Linked DNA regions of Alligator mississippiensis. The protein of the gene in region 2 interacts with the protein of the main gene of each other region in a pairwise test. Links are inferred from orthologs where the notes say so. Each region holds a gene or a part of one and is shown on either strand. Other genes may lie near its edges.

The links. The genes of interacting proteins can lie anywhere in the genome.
Region 1: the proteins of BAG6 (region 2) and DNAJB11 interact in a two-hybrid assay, tested with the Homo sapiens proteins (2 studies listed by BioGRID and IntAct). The link is inferred for Alligator mississippiensis from reciprocal best matches to the Homo sapiens genes BAG6 and DNAJB11.

What each region holds. Positions count from the first base shown.
Region 1 is NC_081830.1:33,027,197-33,037,419, reverse strand, and holds the start of DNAJB11 (dnaJ homolog subfamily B member 11), read right to left. Parts: upstream 4,587-10,223; 5' UTR 4,495-4,586; coding exon 4,427-4,494; intron 3,195-4,426; coding exon 3,038-3,194; intron 1-3,037. Other genes in the region: TBCCD1 (TBCC domain-containing protein 1), read left to right, coding at 6,040-6,384, 9,489-9,644. UniProt on the Homo sapiens protein: As a co-chaperone for HSPA5 it is required for proper folding, trafficking or degradation of proteins.
Region 2 is NC_081834.1:58,567,462-58,577,880, reverse strand, and holds the start of BAG6 (large proline-rich protein BAG6), read left to right. Parts: upstream 1-5,912; 5' UTR 5,913-5,994; intron 5,995-6,307; exon of another isoform or gene 6,308-6,396; intron 6,397-10,419. UniProt on the Homo sapiens protein: ATP-independent molecular chaperone preventing the aggregation of misfolded and hydrophobic patches-containing proteins.

The DNA of each region.
Region 1 (10,223 bases), on a different chromosome or scaffold from region 2:
AGGTTCTTAATCATACGATCAGAAAGGACTCCTTACAAAACCTGCACATATCCCACCTCAGGGGCAAAAAGTTGAATACTTTGCCTTCTGGTTGGTAGGTCTAAAAATCAGCCTATTAATGGAGAGTTCCCACTTCATATGGAGTCTTTCCAATCTCCATTCATCACTAACAAAGCTTTTCCTACTTGCCTGATCTATAGTCTTTCTTGGACTTTAGCAAGGCCGTCGATACGGTATCTCATCCTATTCTCATAAATAAATTATGAGGCTGTGACACAGATGTTTACACGGTTCAGTGGGTGGCAAATTGGCTTAGCGGTCGCGCCCAGACAGTGGTAGTAGATGGGTTGGTATCGACCTGGAAGGATGTGGGTAGTGGGGTCCTGCAGGGTTCGGTCCTTGAACCTGTATTCTTCAATATCTTCATTGATGACTTGGATGTGGGTGTGAAGTGTATCGTCTGCAAACTTGGACAGAGTACTAAATTGTGGGGTGAAGTACATACTCTGGAGGGTAGGGAACGATTGCAGGCAGACCTGGACGGACTGGAAGAGTGGGCAGTACACAATAGGATGCAGTTTAACAAAGACAAGTGCAGTGTGCTGCACCTAGGGTGCAAAAATATCCAGCACATCTACTGGCTGGGAAGTGACCCTCTCAGCAATACAGAAGCAGAAAGGGATCTCAGAGTCATATAGGACTCCAAGATGAACATGAGTTGTCAGTGTGATGAAATCAGCAAAGCTAACCGCAGTTTATCATGCATCAGCAGATGCATGATGAACAGAGTTGATACTTCCCCCTCTATGCAGCATTGATCAGACCGCAGCTGGAGTAGGGCATCCAGTTTTGGGCACCGTACTTCAAGGATGTTGATAGACTTGAGAGGGTCTGGAGAAGGGCCACTCGTATGGTTAGGGGCTTACAGTACAAGCCCTATGAGGAAAAACTGAGGGACTTGGACCTCTTCAGCCTCTGTAAGAGAAGGCTGAGAGGTGATCTTGTGGCCACCTACAAATTCATTAGGGGGATGCAGCAAGGGATCAGAGATGCTCTGTTCACCAGGGCGCCTCTTGGGGTGATGAGGAACAATGGCCACAAACTGACAGAGAGCAGATTTAGGCTGGACATCGGAAAAACTTCTTCACGGTAAGGGTGGCCAAAATTTGGAATGGGCTTTCAAGAGGGATGGTGCTCTCCCCTACCTTGGGGTGTCTTCAAGAGAAGGCTGGATAGGCATCTGGCTGGGGTCATCTGACCCTAGCACTCTTTCCTGCCTAGGCAGCGGGACAGACTCGATGATCTGTTGAGATTCCTTCCGATTCTAGCATCTATGAATCTAGTCAGCAAATGAAGAACTTTGTGGTACAGTTTGCAGATGACACAAAGGTTGGTGGGGAGGGGGAGCCGAGAGGAAGCAGCTAGTTTATTAAGCGACAATTCACTTTAACATTAAATTTCAGAATCCTAAGCCAAAAAAAAAATAAAAAAAAAATGCAGCTTTAGGTTTCCTTAGGTAAGTCAGGCAATAGACCAATCAAATAAAATCATTTGCCTGCAGGTAAATATTATCAAATATTGCATGATGCCAAGAATGCCACCCCCCCCCTTTTTTTTGTTTTGAAACATCACAGTGTCACCTATTAGCAAGGGCAGGAGTGAGGTCTCCATGCCCTCCTGCCCTGCCAAAATTAGGATTCACGCATATGAATACACCATTTCAGCGAAGTGCTCCATGCCCTGCCCTGACTCGAATTTGTCCAGTCTTCTCCTCCTTCCTGTGTTAAGTAACATACAGCCACTGGAGCTATTCTGTGCTGAGGGAGGAACCAACAGTATAGAATTGCTATGTGGTTTTTATTTCTGTTTAATTCTTTTTCCCCCTAATTTGTAAAGGTTTGGACTGATTCTGGGGTTGGGAATAAAAGCCAGGGAGAAGAAAAAGAAGTGTTCAGTCTCAAATGTATGCTTATCTAACAACGTTAGCTGTTGTCATTCATCACCGGTTTTTAGGATTTAAATTTCATTATTCCAGAAAATTAGTTCACCAACTTGGTTTTTTGGAATTAGCACAAATTTCTAACCTATTGAAGACTAAAGCATCTCTACTTTTCCAAGAAATAAATGCTTAAAATACTTGTCCATTATTTGACATTTTGCTGGTCAACTGACCAAGTATTTTCTGACTGGACAACTACTCAACCCTAATATTCTCAGACATTTGCAACAGCCACAGCAATCGCCTCTATCAGGGGTTGTTGACCTACAGCCTGTAGCCAGATCCAAGGTGACACAGCACAGGGGACTGGAGGCACAGAGCTATGTCATACCACACATGTCTGCTGCAGTCTTCCCTGCCACTCTCTTGCACCTGTCCTTACCCTTGCTGTAGACTGTGCCTTTCTCCATTGCTTCTGGAGGCAGAGAAACAGGTGGGCTTAGGTGCTCCAGGGAGCAGAGATCTGTGGCCTGTGGCTCTGGCCAGACAGAAAGCAGCAGTCTGCAGAGGCAGGTCGATCCGTGATCTATATTTTCTGGTTGCAGAAAACTAATTGCTGGCAGGATGCCTGGCAAACAACAAGGTATCCAGAACCCTCTCCAAGGGTCAGCAAACTCAGTCAATGAAAGAGTTATGTGTGGCTGCTTTTCCTCCTTACCTTCTCTTCCACAATCACCCAACTCTGGAAATAAGACTTGGGGTCTAGCATTTGGCCTGTGACCACTGCTAGAAACCTTACATGGATGGGGGAAAATAAAAATCCCATTTTTTTCATTAGCAAAGAAGAGGCTTTTTGCAATCTTCCTCTCCCAGCTATGGTAGACAAACTTAACTGACATGTCCCTTTTGCTGCTGCTGCAACTTATCACCAGGGAATTATAATCAGCATTAAAATATTTGACTGATGCACACTGGAAGGGCACCGCTGGATATAAAGGATCTTTTCCATGCACTCCTACATGAGCAAAGACACCAACTATGCAGGAAGGGCGAGGTCTGTATTAGAGCTGCAAGCAGATACCTGGTTAACTCACTGACCTCATAGGCTGCACCCAGGTCCTGGAACTTCTCTTGTGCGCGTGGATCGTCGGGGTTGCGATCTGGATGAAGCTGCAGGGCTAGTTTCCGATAAGCTTTTTTAATATCTTTTATTGATGCGCTGCGTGACACCCCCAGAATCTTATAGAAATCCCTCCTGAGAAACACAGGGCAAAGAAAGCATTCAGCTGCAGCTCCAACTTGGGTGCAAGCCTGGTGTGCTACTCAAAAAGCAACAAAGCATCCCGCCCCCCCCAAACAGTCAGTGCTGTTATTTTCACTTTACAAAAGGGGGAACTGAGATGCAAACAGACTCAGCAGATGGCTCAGGGACACACAGGGGAATTCTAGGGCAGAACTGAGATCAAGACCCTGGTGTCCTATGCCCCATTTCAGTGCTCTGCTAGGGATATCCTGGGGCCCCCTGTAGAGAGAAGTGATGGGGACTGACTCATGGTCAAACTGGACATCCCTGATACAGCCAGGATCAGAAGTTTGCTGAGTCCCAACCCAGGGCCTTAACAAGCACCATCCTTGCCTCCCATCAACCAGCATCCAGGAGGCTGCAGCCTGGATACTGTCCCCCCTTCAGCACCCACGCTTCTCCCTTCTTTATCCCCACATACTTCACCAGGCAAGGCTGGCAGCAGGGAAAGCAACTCATGTCACACTGCACCACCCTCTTGATACTCCAAAGCACATGAACCTGAGGCATTGATGGGTGTCAGAGGTACCCAGCCCTGGGGACTGACAGACCATGAGCAGAACGGGGAAGGAGATGCCTGGATGCAGGCACTGAATATGTAGGCCAGGCGTGGCCAAGCTGCCCTATAGGGTGCCACAAATGGCACGGGCAGCACCTGTGTGTAGGACAGCAGATGGGGCAGATAGGGGAAGTGACCGGGGGCAGACAGGGCAAGGGACAGAGGAGCCAATCCAGCAGGGAATGCAGGGCAGGGAGCAGAGAGCAGAGCAACAAATGGGACAGGAAGCACAGGGCAGAGAGCAGAGCAACTGATTGGGAGGGGAGCACAGGGAAGGCAGCAAAGTAGCTGAACAGGCAGAGAAGCAGATCACTGAGCAACTGACCAGGCAAAGGTAGGGGGACAGCACAAAGCAAGGGATGGGCAAAAACAGGGCAAGCAGAAGAGCACAGAGCAATGGATCGGGCAAGGAGCACAGGGCAGGGAGCAGAGCTCAGAGCAATCGATCGGGCAAGGCAGGCTACATGGCACAATAGAGCAGTGGGGGCGGGGAGCAGAACGAAGAGCAAGTGATGGGGCACGGGGCAGAGAGCAGAGCAACCGATTAGGCAGGAGCACGGGGGGGGGGGGGGAGGGCAGAGCGCGGGCGGGCGGGCAAGCGGGGGCTGCGGCTGCTTGTACTCACCCAGCGGTGGCCTCCCCGAGCAGGCAGAGCAGCAGCAGACAGAGGCGGCCGAGCGCGCGGCGGGACATAGCGGGGCCGGACCGCGGCGCAGGCCTCACTCGCCGGTAACCATGGACATGAAGCGGAGCCCGGCGAGCGGCGCGGACCAATGGGCGCCCAGCGCGGCGCAGATCGGCGGCCAATCCAAACTGCACACTTCACCACCCGGCCGGGCTGGCCGGCCAATCCCCGCCCTCGTCGTCAGCGCTCAGCGTCTGCGTCGCCGCAGCCCGCGAGCCAATCGCAGCGCAGCCAGGGGCTCCGCGTTACAGACCCGCAGGAAGCGTTCTCCTGGCAGGCCCAACCAATTCCAGCGCGGGAGCGCAAGCCCGCCCCCGCCACCGCAAGGCACCAATCGGCGCCTCGCAAGTGATGCAAGCCGAAGTCCTCCAATGGAGAGAGGGCAGTCTGATGCTTTTCGCTGGCAGGGACTGCCTGTTCGCGTGCGCAGACTGGTTGGGGTGCGGCTGTGTGACACTGCTGGGTGCCGGTGTGTAATAGTGGATGCATCAATCACTCGTGCACCGTAATTAGAGCGCTTTGAGTTTAGGAAAAGCGACAAGTACAGACTTAATGCGCTGCAATCGACGCTACTGGCAGCCGACTTAATTCTACTGCAGTCACGTGGCTTTCACTCTGACACAACACTGCACAGTAGCTCTCGCTTGTAGGTGACGCTAGTGGGCAGCAGGCCAATTCTACTGCGCACTACCACAGCTCTCACCGTGAAGCACTAATTAGTCTACTGCGCTTCTAGCATCTCGTGTATACAAGGGCAGTGGACGGTGGTGACTAGAATTTGTGCCTGTGAGAGTCTAACCATGGTTTACAGAAATCAGATTTGCTTCTTATTGACCCAAACCCAGTTTTTAAGAACGAGATGCGCTCCGCGGGCAGCGGACCAATTTGCTCCAGTAGCCAAGAGATCCTGTTTATTACGCTCCAAGGACGTGCAATCGCCACACCCAGGTCACACCCGTGCTACAGGCACAGCCGGCTGCAGGGAGACAAAACTCCTCCGGGTCGGGGCAGGACCCAGAGCCCGCTGGCTTGTGATCCCCGGCGGGGGTGTCACGCACTTTGACTGCGCTGGTGAAGCAAGCGGGGCAGGCAGCCCTTGCTCCAAGCAGCTCGCCAACACAGGAGGTCAGGAACGGGAACCAACTTCGCCCAGGGATGTGCGTGTTGAGCCTAGCCGCTTGCGGCTGAACCAGAGTTGCGGGGGTGCATAGGACCCTGCCCCATACATCCCTATGGAGTGAGTCTTGGCACAGGCGGATAGCGCAACCTACGGCTCCCCGTGCCGGGCCCGGATCTGACTCCACGGGCAGGGCTACGAGGCCCCGCCCGCCTCTGCCCCTGCTTAACCCAACTGGCCAGGACTACCAGCAGCGCGGCACCCCCACGTGCGCTCGGAAAAGGAAGTGCTGGTTTGTCTAGCCACCAACTTGCTGCTCCGGCGGAGCGCGCATGCGCGGCGGATAGCGCGCCCGTTCGAACAAGAGCGGGAGCCTCGTAGCGGGGCGCGCAGGCGCAGAAGGCCGCGGCGGGTGGCTGAAGGGGGCACGGCCGCCATGTCAGAGCCGGCCCCCGATCCGGCCCGGCTGTGGGTGCGCGCGGAGCCGCTGCTGCTGGGAGCGCTGCCGGCGCCGCCGCCCCCCAAACTGGGTCCGCACTATCTGCGCAAGATGGCGGCGTACGTGCGGGCGCGGGCGGGCGCGGGGGGCTGGCCGCGCCTGGGCTGGCCGCTGTGGCGCCGCATCGCCTGCGGGAAGCTGCAGCTGCCGCGGGATCTGGCGTGGCTCTACTTCGAGCGCTTCGACGCGCTGGCCCCGCGCAGCGCCGCCCAGCGCCTGGAGCGGGCCGAGGCCGCCGCCGCCTGCGCCTCGGACCACGAGCTGGAACAGCTAAGGAACCAGGCACGGCGGGGCTGGGCTCGGCTGGGGGCGGGGCTAGCCGGGAGGGGCGGGGCTTAGCGCCCAGAGGTGCCAGGGCGGGGCTTAGCCATGGGGGGCAGGGCTAAGGGTAGGGGACTGACCCCGGTACCCCTGGCAGCTGTCCGAGGAGCCTGGTGGGACCTGGCCTTGGTGGTGGGGTCAGTGGAGACACCCCCCCCCCTGCAGTCTCGCCCCCTGCCCTTGGTGGCTACTCAGCTGCAGCGCCCAGGAGCAGGGCCTGGGCTGCTGTCCTGCACCTGGCACTAGTGCAGCAGTGCTCACCCATTGTAGCGTTGAGGCCCCCTCAGGGAAACAGCAGCGCTGAGCTCGTTGATGATGGAAAGACAACAGAGCTGTTCTTTCCTTGAAAAGGACTTGGCAAGACCCTGGTAGCTTGGCACAGTTCAAAGGCAACAGATCCCATTTTGTGACCTCCAGCCTTATTTTGTGCCTGCGCACCTGACAGTGCTAAAATATTGTGTGGTGCCCTTAAAAGCATCTCTCAGCACCCCAGGGTGCGCTGCTCTGTACCCCCCACCCTTGGTTGAGAATTTGATGTTTTCTGTGTGTCTGGGGCAAACCCCAGTGACCAGATTTTCCCTTCGGAGTCACACTGTCATGTCTGTGATGCCAGTGTCCAACAATCTGTTTAACTGCGCTACAGATGGTATAAACTGAGGCCCCTTCCTGTATTAGAGCCATTTTAAACACTTCATATAGAAAGTACTAAAATAAAAAGCTATGGCATAAGCCTTCAAAAGCAGCGCACTGTACAGCTTGGAAACATATTCACAAAGGAGACTTCTATAAAAGTCTTCCGCAAACTACTTAAACGGGCCTCGCGTCCCCATATACGATACAAGTGAGATGAAATTTTTTTCTTTACTTTTTATTTTACAAGGAATCTTGACCGATCTAATGTGGTTTTGCTGACTGCCTTCTGAAGGCTGAGGGGGAACAAATCTATCCCCTTTAAAGGGAGGAGAGTTCAGAAAAAAACATTATTTAATGTGTTAATTAGTTAACGAAATTAGTGTCTATATTAACATAAGGGGGTCAAACTGGTTAAAAATCAGAGAGGCAGGGCATATTGAAGTCTTCTTTTGCTAGTTGTCACTTAGCTTGCTGGGAACTGAATCTTTGGCAAGGGGGATATCAGGACTCTCCAATACACATCAGAAAACTTTGGACCTTCACACATTTTAAGTCACTCCTTGTTCATACATATGCCAAAGAGGGCACAAAGCCCATTTCCCTGCTGTGTATGACGTAAAAAGAACACCTGCCTCATTTTGATAGTTTAAAAGTTTCAGCCCTTACTGGTTGCAGTCCTGGCACAGGAGGCTAAAGACATGTGTGTGCTCAAAAACTTATTCTTGTGGGAGAAACCCACCCTGTATTGGGGGGGAAAAAAAACTCCAGTAGTGAACAGAAGTTGCAGTATTGTTCCTACTTACTCATGTGGGGGTATAAATATTTGTGAAATATTGCAATATAAATTACATTATAAAACATTACAGGAATATGAGAGAGATTCTCATGATGTCCTAAAATCAAATGAGCTTAAGTGGCCAAATTCCTGACAGTTCTTTCCCTACCCCAAGAACAGTTGTCAATCATTTACATTATCTTTCTGGGTTTAGTGTTCATTCATAAAGTGAATCAGCTGTTGTGATCAGTCAGCCATCAGTAGTGTTTTCTGTGATTGAGATTGCAGAAAATATGCAAAACTAGGGTTAACTGAAACTTGCAAAGTGCAGAATTAAGAGGCAGGATTTGAATGCAGTTCAGATACTTGAGCTAGGGGGTGAAAAGACGTATCCCACTGAAAAAAAATGCTTTAAAGACAGAAATAACTGCTGTTTCAGCTTTTGATTTTTCAGAACAGCCAGTTTTCATTGAGAGCTTGCTGTTTTCAAAATGGAGCTCTGAACTAATGGGAAGAAGCTTTTAGCATGAATGTCCTCCCAGGGTTAAGAATGGCATTTACAGAGGCAAACCCTGTAAATATAGCTGCTGAGAGATGTTGATTTTCTGCATGTTGCTATATGACTGCCATTAAGATCTGTAAGGGGAGTACAATAAAGAGGGCTTGAAAAGTCAAGCAAACATCTTCCAAGCCCGAAATCTATTTAAGCTCAGTGATTTATTCTGCAACTCTAGTGCCTTCATCAGAACTGTTTAATAGCTGACTAGTGCCAAACACTAGATAGCACATGAAATCGAAATCAGTTAATGCTGTAGATACCAGGTTGTTGTCGGGGCCGAGGGGCTGTGGCCAGCAGCCTGAGCATGTGGGCCGGGGAAAGGGTTGGCACGGCGAACTAGAATTAGGGACGGACGCATAGAGGTTGATTAAGGATTATTTTACTTACACCGTAGGTGGTCGCGGTGCAGGCAGGAAAACTTTCTTGAGTTGCAGTTACAAAAAAAACACACATGTGGAGTTTGCTAGGCTCCGCTGAAGACACACGAGCGGAGTTTGCTAGGCTTCGCTAAACAAACATGAACAGAGCTCTGGATACGACTCATGGAGTTTGCTAGGCTCCGTGGACCGTCCGAAATGAGAGTTCGAAAGGTGACTCTCCACGAGCGCGCAGGGTAGGGTACGTCGAGGGATCGTGCGGCAACGGGGAGAGGCTAGAGGTTGATCAGGTCCCTGTATCCTCCTTTAAGGCACACGCGGAGTTTGTTAGGCTCCGCAGCACGCTTAGAGTTCTTCACGAGATGGATGTGAAGTCCTCCTCCTCCAACTTGAGCGGAAACTGCTCAAGCCTCTTATACGGCTAGCAAGCCAACGGCTAGCTGCCACGTGGGAATAATTTAGAAACAGCCAATAGTGGGAAACAAATTTACATACGGGTGGCGGGAACTCCTTTGCACTGGGATTTTCACTATGCAACTGAGAATTGCACCATGCAAAGAAAGCTCCATGTGGCGGGAAATAATTCTGCAGTGCCGAAGCGCACACAAAATCATACCCTTTGGGACATGACAGTTGTCTCGATTTTAAAAGACTAATTAAATGATTGTAGCCATTGGTAATGTTCTGGTTAATATTAATACTGTGTTTCCTTCTTGATCAGTTTTCGGTAGATACTCTACAGTTCCTGCTGTTCTTGTACGTTCAGCAACTAAACAAGGTTTCTCTGAGGACATCTTTGATTGGTGAAGAGTGGCCAAGTCCTAGGACCAGATCCCAGTCTTCCAGTTTGATTGGAAAATCCACCTGTCAAAACAAGGTATTGTGCTTAACCCAGTCCCCATAAAAGTTAGTATGTGGGTGAGGCTACAAAACCTCCACTACAAGCTAGCCCTGGGGGGGGAGAAAGAGAGTTTGTGGAAGACTGAACTTCTGCTTATGCTTTTCTTATTAACTCATATATCCTGCTAGAGCTGCACCTCATTAATAGAGCTAATAAATAGTATATAATCTTGTCTTGGGATGTTCACTGTGATTCACATTTTAGAAATTTAAAATGTTATCAATGGAAATTTGTTGCAGGCTGAACTTTTACATAGTCTCAACCTATGATGAGTCTTCTAAAACCTTATGCCCAGAATCTCAGCAAAGCTGAAAATGTTCATGTATTGCAGAAGCTGCTCTTCCACAAATATATGTTCAGATTCCTAGGGGGCCTTCTTTAGAGTGATGTCTAATTATACCCAGTTGTAAATCAGAGACCTAGACTGGCGAGTCAGATATGACTGTCTGTGTGTGGTGGATAAGTCCTATATCAAGTACTTCTAAACATAGGAAACTCGCTGGATATATCAAACCAGCTGCAATTCACAGGATGCTGTATTAGAAATTGAATTAT
Region 2 (10,419 bases):
CAGTCCCACTGGTACAAGCCATACAGGAAACAGCGCTGCTTTGTTGGTGTGAGCTGTGGCCGCACAAGAAGGGTTTGCTGCCTGAGCTCTGCTGGAGCAACTCAGATTGAAACCTGAGTACAAACATCACCTTCCTGCCCCACAGGGCTGGGAGCCAGCAGGCTGTGCAGCCCCCAACTGGCCTGTCAGAGGCCCTACCCTGTGGCCTGAGCTCCTACCCATTTCCTCTTGTGGCCTTGTGGATGTGGGAACTTGGGGCTGAGGATTGAGAAGAATAATTGCTCTGTGTCTCTCTACCTCTCTGCAGGGCTGAGGAGGTGATGCCTCTGCATCCAGCCCCCACGTTCCCTGGGCAGGACAGGAGAATTGGGGAGAGCAAGCCGCAGGAGGCTCTGATGAGATTCCTGGGTATGGGGCACTTCCAGGGCTGCTGTCTCATTGTACTGGGGCAGAGGCAGGGGAAGGGGGAGAGGGTCCTGCAGGGGAAGCTGTGTTGGAGGAGAGCCCCAACAAGTGCATCCCCAGTGTGGCAGAAGGGTGAGTCCTTCGGGAGAGTCTTGGCTGGTCAGATGTGAGACATTACCACAGATGGATTCAGGGCCAGATCCTCAGTGCCCCAGGCCTCCAGGGAGGATGTCTAATTGAGCCCAGCTGAGCCCCGGGGACTCAGGCAGTTTGTGCATTAGTTTCCAGCTTCAGCAGCTCTCTAGGGGAATGGCAGCACCTGGAAGAGCTCTGGGACTCCTCCTTACCAGTGCCAATGTTAAATCAAGACCCCAGTGGCGACTACTGTGTGGCAGTCAGAGCATTGCCCATCCTTGTCAGTGGTGAGACAGGGCAGAGCTAGGCTCTGTGGGGAGGAGGCCTGGAGCGGATATAGAGCTGTTGCTAAACAGCCAGGTCTGTACCTGTCACTGTGAGATGTCAGCAGCTGGAGACTCAAATGCCCAGACACATGGAGGGGCCAAGTGGGGGCTGCTGAGAAGGGGAGGCTGAGAACCGAGACCCCAAACATCAGGGCAGGGAAGAGGAACAGTTGCACAGTGACACCAAACCCCACAGTGCTGCTGGATGTGACACTGGGATTTCCTCACCCAGACAGACCAGGGCCCCCTCTTCTGGGCCAGGCTGCTGAGGATTGAGCTGCCCTGGGGACCCCCACTCTGGGACTCCCTGTGTTGGGAATGGCTCAGTTCTCCATCAGCTGCCGCAGGGATCAGAGACCAAACACTGCAGCACTGACTCTTATCTTGCCCCAGCTCCTGGGCAGTTTCAGGCGTTTGGGTAAGTAAGGACAGCAGGATTTGTCCCAGTGTCTGCACTGGGTCATGCTGCAGTGACTCTGCTGTGTGAATTATCACCTCTCTCTTTGCTGCTTGATTCCAGAGTTCAGAAGAGCCCGAGGACACACAGGTGAGTGACCCTGACCCCATATCAGTGACCCCAGAGCCCTCCTTGGAGAACTTTGCTTGCTACAGCCACTGCTCCCACCATCCTGGTGACCTGAAGGTGGGCTTTGTGACCAGCAAGATTCAGTGCATCCCTGCTGCATTCACCCCTCACTGCTCCCAGCCCAGCACACTCTGTACGCCCTGGGCCCTGGACAGGGCTGGTCTCTGAGCCATGTGAGATCCCAGGCCCAGGGTGTTTTGGGATTCTCAGTCGATCTCCCTGGCACTGAGCCTTGTGCAGCAGCTTCTTCTGCTACGGTTGGTCTATTCTGTCCATGCAGTGCCCACACGCTTCCCAGAGCCCAGCAAGTGTCCTGGGCCTGCCTTGGGAGACCTGTGCCTGGGTCTGGGAAGATCGATAGGTCCATCCTTAAGGGGCTTTGATGCCCCAGGTCAGCAATGTGGGGTGGGTGAACCCTGCTCTTGTGAATGGGGCAGGCTCTGCAGGGAGACCTGGTGTTTCCCGCTCTTCACTGTGCAATACTTGGAGGGCAGAAGACCACTGTCCCAGCAGTGCCCCTGGTCTTGTCTGCATGGGGTGTTCTTGGCCCAGTGCATGACTCCAGTGCAAACCCCTGGAACAGATGCACTGCCTGGGAGTGAATGGAGATTTGCCCCTGGGGCAGCTGAGCCCACGGAGAGGGGGCAGTCAGTGGGGAAATGCCCCTAGCCCCCTCAGTAACCCGCACTCAGCAGTGGGCTCTTGTGCTTGGTTCCAGTTGTCTGGGCTGGCTCGAAAGAAGTGAGCACAGCCCAGATGCATGACCCTGCCCGGGGCTCTGTGGAGCGAGCAGTTGGCTCTGCCAGGGCTGCCCTGGCTGCAGAGCCAGCAGCACTTGGCAGACTGCAGCCAGAGGATCAGAGACAGGGCTCCTTTTATTAGACCAACTATTTATTTGGTGTAATAAAAGATATTGGATTTACCCCCAAGACCTTGTCTACCCATGTCCTTGGACCAACATGGCTACAACCAACACCCCCAAGGATGGAGAAACATTTGGCTTCCCAGACCTGAGCAGAGAAAAGGCGCCCCTTGCCGAGGGGCTGGGGTGAGCTGGGGTTCGGCCGAGGGCAGCAACCACAGGGACCTTGGTTTTGCTTTTCCAGACTGGAGGCAGGAGCCACAGTTGTGCCTCTCCCAGAACAGCCGTAGGAAGGAGTGGGGTTACAAGCATCTGTCTCTGACCCTGCTCTTGTAGCCACCCTGGGACTGAGGCCAGTCTCACAAGGGAGGTGGCCTGCAACTGGGCCCCCTGTTCCCCCACAGCCCGGCCCCCATCCACTCCTCAGCCCCGGGAGCAGGGCCTGCCTCTCCCCTGTCAGGCCCCAACTCCAGCTCCCCAAAACGAGCACCTGCCCCGACACACAGACCCCATGCAGGCAGCCCTGGGTTGGGCCGCGCTTGCTGCCTCGTTCAGGGCAGGAAACCCCCATGGCCCAGACCCGCATGCAGGGGTGGCCGTGTGGACAGGCTCCACTTGCAGCCAAGCTGCCTGCCCCAGTGAGGTGTGGGGGGTGCAGGGTGGGCAGCGGGGCTAGCCCCAGTCCTGGCCCTGCCTGCAGGTCCTCCTGGGCACAGCAGAGGTGGCTCCTGTGTGAGCACCTGGGGCACAGGAGCAGCAGCTCCTCTGCCCTTATGTGGGGGCAGGTATGTGGGCTGGGGGCACTTAGGGAGTTGGGGAGATCGGGGGGTGGGGGTGCTGCTGGCCCAGCTCACCCAAGCTCCCTCCAGCACAAGGAATTGTCCCCCCTGCCCTAGACACTCCCTGACTGCAGGGACGGTGGGCTGGGCAGAGGTTTCTTGTATCCAGATGAGTGGCAGCAAGCAGAAGTGGTTGGGGTTGTGGGAAGGGTTTTGCTCATGTGGGGCTTGGCAGGAGGCCAGGCTCAGCCACATGTGAACAGCCGCTTCTTTGGACAGCACTTACTAGGAAACTGGGACCCAGAGGGTTCTCTTGGCAGAGCTTCAGGGCCTGGCGTGTGCTTGCGGGGCCTTTGCTTGGCACCTGTCCTGGGGACAGTGGGTCTTGCCTTGGCACAGGGGAAAGCCCAGAGGTGAAGCTCATTCCTCTCCCTGGCCGGGGATTCCAAACCCATTTAATAGATTCATAGACTGTAAGGCTGGAAGGGACCTCGGAAGATCATCGGGTCTAGCTCCCTGCACAAGGCACTCTGGAGCCAGGGGCGCCATTCACGGGGGAGGGAGGACAGCAACTCTCCCAGGGGGGGAAGGACAGGGAGATGAGCAGGGTCAAGGGAGGGGGAGCATGGAGGACCCACCTTCCAAGCGAAGGAACTGCTTCTTTCAGCCTGGTCCTGAAAAGCACAAGCATGAGGAGGCCCCTGGAGCCCGGCCATTGCTCTGCTGGATGCTGAGGCCACAGAGCGTGACCCTAAGGAAGGGCAGTTACCACTGTATAGGGAAGGGCCCAGGAGGGGAGTGGGTGCAGAAACTCCTCAGTATCACAGCCGAGGGGCTGGGCTCCTCCAAAGGCTGCTTGGAAGGAGACACTGCTCTGGGATGAGGCCATGGGATAGGACAGCCATGACCAGGAGGAGCAGGGCCAGCGCCTGCCCACTCTGCTGAGTTGGCACATGTTTAAAAAAAATCTGGATTTTTTTTGCTTGGATCACTTGATCCCAGCTGACTTCCTGCCTATGGTGAGGGGGGGGGGAGGGGGGGGGCTGGACTTGATGATCTTATGAGGTCCCTTCCAGCCCTTACTGTCTATTCATCTATGACTCCCAGCTGGCTGGTGAAGGCCAGGGTACTGGGACACTGGTAGAACAGCTCACTGGAGAGCAGGACCTGCAGCTCAGCCACTCGCTGCTATGTGAGCTGACACACACACAGTGGCTCTCAACCAAGGTGCCATGGCAGGTGTTGGGGGTGCCACACCGTGTTAATGTTCTTACGTATGCAGATACGAATTGCAAGATTAACCCAGAGTTTTCAGCTAGAAATCCAGTGTTCAGATTCATAGGTGTTAGGGTCCGAAGGGACTTCAGTACATCATTGAGTCCAACCCCCTGCCCTGGGCAGGAAAGAGCGCTGGAGTTAGATGACCGCAGTCAGGTGCATGTCGAGCCTCCTCTTAAAGACCCCCAAGGTAGGGGAGAGACATGTTAGAGATGTCTTGCCTGCTGCGGCCTTTCTGAGTTCTTTGCAACAGAAGAATTGCTCTATTCTTTTTCCAGACTCAAAAAGGGAATTAAACCAGAGCTGGCCTTTTCTGAGGGGCGCCTTGAGTCTAATGAGAGATGCCTTGAGTGTAAAAAGGTGGAGAACCAGTGCAGCCCCAGACCCTGCAGAGACTGTGCATGCAGGGAGGGCTGGTGTTAACTATTCCCCTGCCCTGGCTCGCTCTGCTTGGGCCCCTGTCTCATACACTGGCAGCTCTGCCCTGCCCTGCCCTGCCCCTGCAGTCAGGAAAAGATAAACTTATTTGTAGCTGCTGTTCCCCAGGAGCAGTGGAGCTGGAGCCATGGCTGTAGGGAAGCTGGCAGGGAGGTTCCAGGCAGAGGTGACTTGCTCCATGTGTTTGGACTAATTTATGGATCCGGTGATGACTGACTGTGGGCACAGCTCCCCACGGTGGGGCAGCTCTCCCAGAGGCAGGGTTCACGTGTGGGACCTTACCTCAGCCCTGCATTTCCTTCCTACGGTTCATCTTTCCGTAGGTCGGGAGTACGTGCTCTGGCTCTCAGGGTGCCAGTTAAGCAGTCGCCACTTTCTCCACCCTGGAAGTGAATGAGGCACCGGCCGGCAGGCCCGACTCCTGTGTGCGGGAGGTCCCATGGGTGATGGGGGTGTCTCCTGGGATGCTCCCCATCATCTCCCTTGGCCGACGCCGGCTTGAAAGTCTCTGCACGAAACACTTCTTCCATTCTTAGATCCTGGGACAAACCCAGGCCTGGTGAAAGCCCAAGACCAACAGGACACGCAGCCCTTTGAGGCGATCTGTGCCTGTGGGTTTTACGCCGGGACCCAGGGCCTTACAGATCCCGAACCTCTGGTCAGGATTTCAGCCCCTTTGGTTCGGGGTGTGATCTTTTCTCTAGATCAGTCTGTCTAACGTATCTCACGTACATCTGCTGACAGTCCAGGGCCAAGAGCAGCACGGGGCAAATTCATGCCCCACCTCCCTGGGGGCACAGCCCTCATCACCCCGCCCCCGCGCGGGTAGCCACTGACATCTGGCGGGAAGGGGGCACCGAGCCCTGCGCATGCGCGACGGGAGCCGGGGGCTCAAGCTCTGCCCCATGAGAACTTCAGCGTGTGGGCGCCTACAGCACTGCCTGATCCAAACCGGCGTGAGACGCGGCCGCCCCGCGGACTCTTCTCACACGCGGCCGCACACCGACATGCCCCTCAGAGGGCGGGGGATGGGGGGGGGCCCGTCGCAGCGGTGACGGGGCGCATCAGGCGCGCCGCTAGCAGCCCCATTTGGCCCCGAGTCTTGAGGCCCCCGTCCCCACGTCACGCATGCGCAGAGCGGTGTGCGCCGCAGAGCAGCCGGTGCGGGGAGTCTCTCGCAAGCAGGTTCGGACTTGGGCTTGGTGGGGACCCGGAAGCGGCCCGTGGGGACCGGAAGTGAACCCCGTTTCATTACCAGGGACACCGGAAGTCACCCAATTTGAGATAAGAAACCGGAAGTCATCCTTTTTGACCGAAAGTCGCCCCCTTTTGACCGGAAGCCCCATCTCATTCCTCACGCGCCCCCTCTTTTTGAGTGGGTGGGACCGGAAGTGCTACCTTCTCTCTGGCCGGAGCCCCCAGCACGGAACCGCCTTTTCTTTCCGTAAAGTTGCCCGATTTTTTTATGGACGGGAAGTGGTTCTGCGCCTACCGGAAGTGACGTCCTGGGCAGGAAAGGGGGCGTGGCCAGGTGTCTGTTGGGCCTCTCCCCTTCCTTTCCCCCCCTCCCAGCCCTAGGAGCTCTCGGTGGGTACCTGCGCGTGTGGGGGAGGGGTGATGGGGGTCTCGGTCCCCCCCCCCCCGCCCCGCGGAGGCGGGGTTATACCCTCCCTGATCCCTCTGTGGGCAGGTATAGCCGGCCTTCTGCCCCCGCCCCCCCTGCAAGCCTGGTGAGGAATGGGGTAATTCGGGTCGGGGGGGTGCTGACCCGTCCCTCCCCCTTCCCAGGGGGGAACCAGGAGGGTCGGTGGGAGGTTCAAGGTCAGTCGCTATAATGATAATATAAGGAGAAGTGTGTATTTAGGCATCATGCCCAGTGTCTTTAATGTGTTGGCAGCCTGCTGGGCTGTGCCAGCGCTCCTGCTGGGGCTCAGCCCCGGGGTCCTGGCTAGAGGGTCTTCCCCTTTGTTCGGGGTCGAGCCGACGCTGTGTCAGGAAGGAATATTCCCCCCGATCGGGCTGGTGGGGACTGGGCGTGGGGGGGGGGGGTGTCAGCCTCTGTAGTGGGGGGTGCGGCCCGTGCCTGGGATCTCTTGAGTGATTGTTAACAACCTGTTGCAGACAGAGGACGTTGCTGCAGTCCCCCTGCTTTCCCTGTGGCAGGTTCGGGTGTGGTCTGTGCTGTCAGGGTTGGTGGTCGTCTTACGTTTACCTGAGTTTACCTGATGGATTTGTCTGAGCTGGTCGCGCCAGGGCTGACCCTGCCTCAGGCTGGGGGTTGGACTAGAGGTGACAACTGGAGGTCCCTTCCTGCCCCACTTCTCATGATTATGCCCCCTGGAGACTCCTTCCCGTTCTGCATCCCTAGGATTTCTGTGATTCTCTGAATTATCCAAACCCTCTTTGTTATGCGTAGGAAGACTGTGGGCCTGGGCTCCTTGCTGTACACGAGGGACTGTAGGCCCATGCAGAAACTGCTAGCCCTGTCTCCACTTCGACCTACTAGGTGCTTCAGAACAAAATTGGTGGGAGAATCAACGAGAAAAAACCAGGGTGGGAGTTGGGGGGGAGGGTGGAGGCCTACAGCCTATAAAATTAGGCTGTAGGCTAATTTTGAGGGCTCCAAGGGGGCACTAGCCCTTGAAGAAGCCCAAGAAGCCAGTGGGGGTCACCCGGTGATGCTCTGCCTGGAGATGTGTCCTAGTGAGGACCAGGAAGACGGCCCCACAGTCATCAGGGTTCCTCCTACAGGCATGTCTGTTATGTGCGTGGAGTTGTGGCCTGGGCCCACCAAGGGAACCACACGCTTCCCTTAATTAGGGCAGTTGATAGGGCAATGGTTTTCAAACTGGGGGGCGTGAAGGAATGTTGGGGGAGAGAGGGGCAGGCAAGACGTTTGCAATGAGCCGGCGCTGCTGCAGCCTCACAGGGATGCAGGGGCAGGACGCCCCAGACAGGCTCTGCCAGCAGGCTGCTGCGACTCTGGGAGCCTGGCATGGCAGGTGTGCAAGGTAGAACTTCAGTGGGGCCAAGGCAGGAGGCACTGGAGCTGCAGCAGGTGGAGTCTGGCCCCCCCGAACCCAGTGGCTGTTAGGCTGAGGGGCACCCTGTGCCTGGTTGTGCTGCTTCCCTGGGTTGGGGTGGGGGCATGAACAAAACTGTAACTCAAAGACAGGCTTTTCTCGAAGTTTACTGCAATAGGGGCACAATAATTGATTCCTTGGCACAACTAATGCAGAAAGAGGGACAGAAGTAGGGGTTGGAGGTTGACAACAAGTGCTCCAAGGCGGGGTAGGGGAATTAAACAGGCCTTTTTGCTTTGCCAAGAGGATTGTGGGCCAGTGCCTACCAAGGAAACTTTAAGTCCCCCTTAAGAAAGGAGGGGGAATTATACAGAAGGGAAGGATTTCTTAGGGGGCCTCGTAAGAGACCATGAGAGGTCTGTCTTCCTTATGATCCTATAAGTGATAACGAGTTAATACATGAAGCAAGGATTTCCCTAGGGTGATCTCTCTTATTGCACCGACTGCAGGGTGGAGTTTGATAGGCTTTCGAAAGCAAAACTTCCTAGTTTGGGTTTGAGCAGGAAAACATTTCAGCATTTGCTGCCTTGGCTTTATATCTGTCAGTTTCAAGCCCTGAAACTGACTAGTGCTTCCCAAACTTTTCCTTGGTATGACTCCATTTATGGCCCCATTTCCTCAACATGCCGCCCCTGCCCCAAACCCACAGGTCCCCACCCCCATGACCCCATCTGCTGATTTTGTGACCCTACTTGGGGTCAGAACCCACAGTTTGGGAACCACTGGACTAGGCCCTCTTGATAGCAAGGCTTTTAATGCTGCCTTTGAAACTGACTTGATCTGTCAGTATGCAAGCCACACACCAGTCCTGAAACTGACTAGATTTTGCCAATATCAGGGCTTTTGATGTGTCCCCTGAAACTGACTAGATCTGTCCCTATCCAAGCTGCACCTACCTGTCCTGAAACTCACTAGACTCTGCCAGGACGGTGGCTTTTAATACAGCCTGTGCAACTGACTAGATCAGTCAGTAGAAGGGTCCTAATAGGGATCTGAAACTGACTAGGCCCAGTGGATATCAGGGCTTTTGAGGGACCAGTCCCTGAAACTGACAGGATCTGTCAATATCAGGGCTCCAGTTAGCAGTCATGGAATTGATTAGACCCTGCCAATATCATGCTTTTAATATTCACCTTGGAAAGACTGGATTGGTCAGAGTGGAACTGACTTGATCTCACTAATTGGGCTTTTAACACCAGCCCTCTGAAATTGACAGACCCTGTCAGCATCAAGGCTTTTTATAGGAGAGCTGGAGCTGGCTAAGGGCTGTCCATACATATCAGGGCTTTTTAATTCAGCTTCTGAAAGTGATTAGATCTGTCAGTGTGGAACTGACCGGACCTTGCCCATATCAGGGCTTCTGATGTTGCCAGCCCTTGAAATTAGCCAAGCCCATGGTTTTTAATACCAGCCCCTCTGAAACTGATGAAATGGGTCAGTATCTGGGTTTCAAAACTGACTAGACTCGCTCATATCAGGGCTTTTAATTCAGCCCCTGAAACTGATGAGGTCTGTTCTATCCAGGCATTTAATAGTAGATTTGACACTGACAGTAATCCAGCCTCTGAAACTAACAAGGTCTGTCAGTACCAAGGCATTTAATAGCACATCTGCAACTGAGTAGGGGCTGGCAGCCTCTGAAACTGACCAGATTGGTCAGTATCAGGGCTCTTACCCCTCTTGAAGCCAGTGAAAGGGCTTTTAACAGCAGCGCCTGAAACTGACTAGGCCTGTCAGTGTGCATCTGACACAGGCCTGTCAATATCTGGGCTTCTGAGCTACCAGCCCCAGAAACTGACTATTTCTGTCATTTTCAGGGCTCTTAAAGAGCTCTCTGGAAACTGACTAGACCCTGCCAAGATGGGGGCTTTTAATCCAGCCCCTGAAACTGACCAGGTCTATCAGTATCAAGACATTTAATGGCAGATTTGAAACTGACCAGGGGCTGCTAATATGAGGGCTTTAATGCTACTGCCTCTGAAACAGAACAGATTTGTTAGTATCAAAAGTCCAAATACCATCTTGAAACTGACTGGACCCTGCCTTTAAGGGAGCTTTTAACAGCAGGCTGTGAAACTGACCAGATTGGTTGTTAGGAAATTGATTTGAGTCTGTCAATATCAGCTGCCAGCCTCTGAAACTGACTAGGTCTGTCAGTCCAGAGCCTTTTAATAGCAGACCTGAAACTGACTAGGGGCTGCTAATATTAGGGGTTTTGATGCCACTGGCCTCTGAAACTGACTGTGTCTGTCCATGTTGGGGTTCCTAATAGCAGTCTTGAAACTGACCAGACCCTTCTAATACCAGGGTTTTAATACTGCCCCTGAAATGGACCTGGTCTGGTTTTATGAAACTGATTAGGACTGGGCAATATCAGGGCTTCTGATGCTACTGGCCCTTGAGACTGACCAGCTCTGCAAGTATCCAAGCTCCAAACCCTGGTCCTGACCCTGTTCATATTGGGGCTTTTAGTTTAGCCCTGAAACTGATGACAGCAATCACTGTGAAACTTACTAGGTGCAGTCAA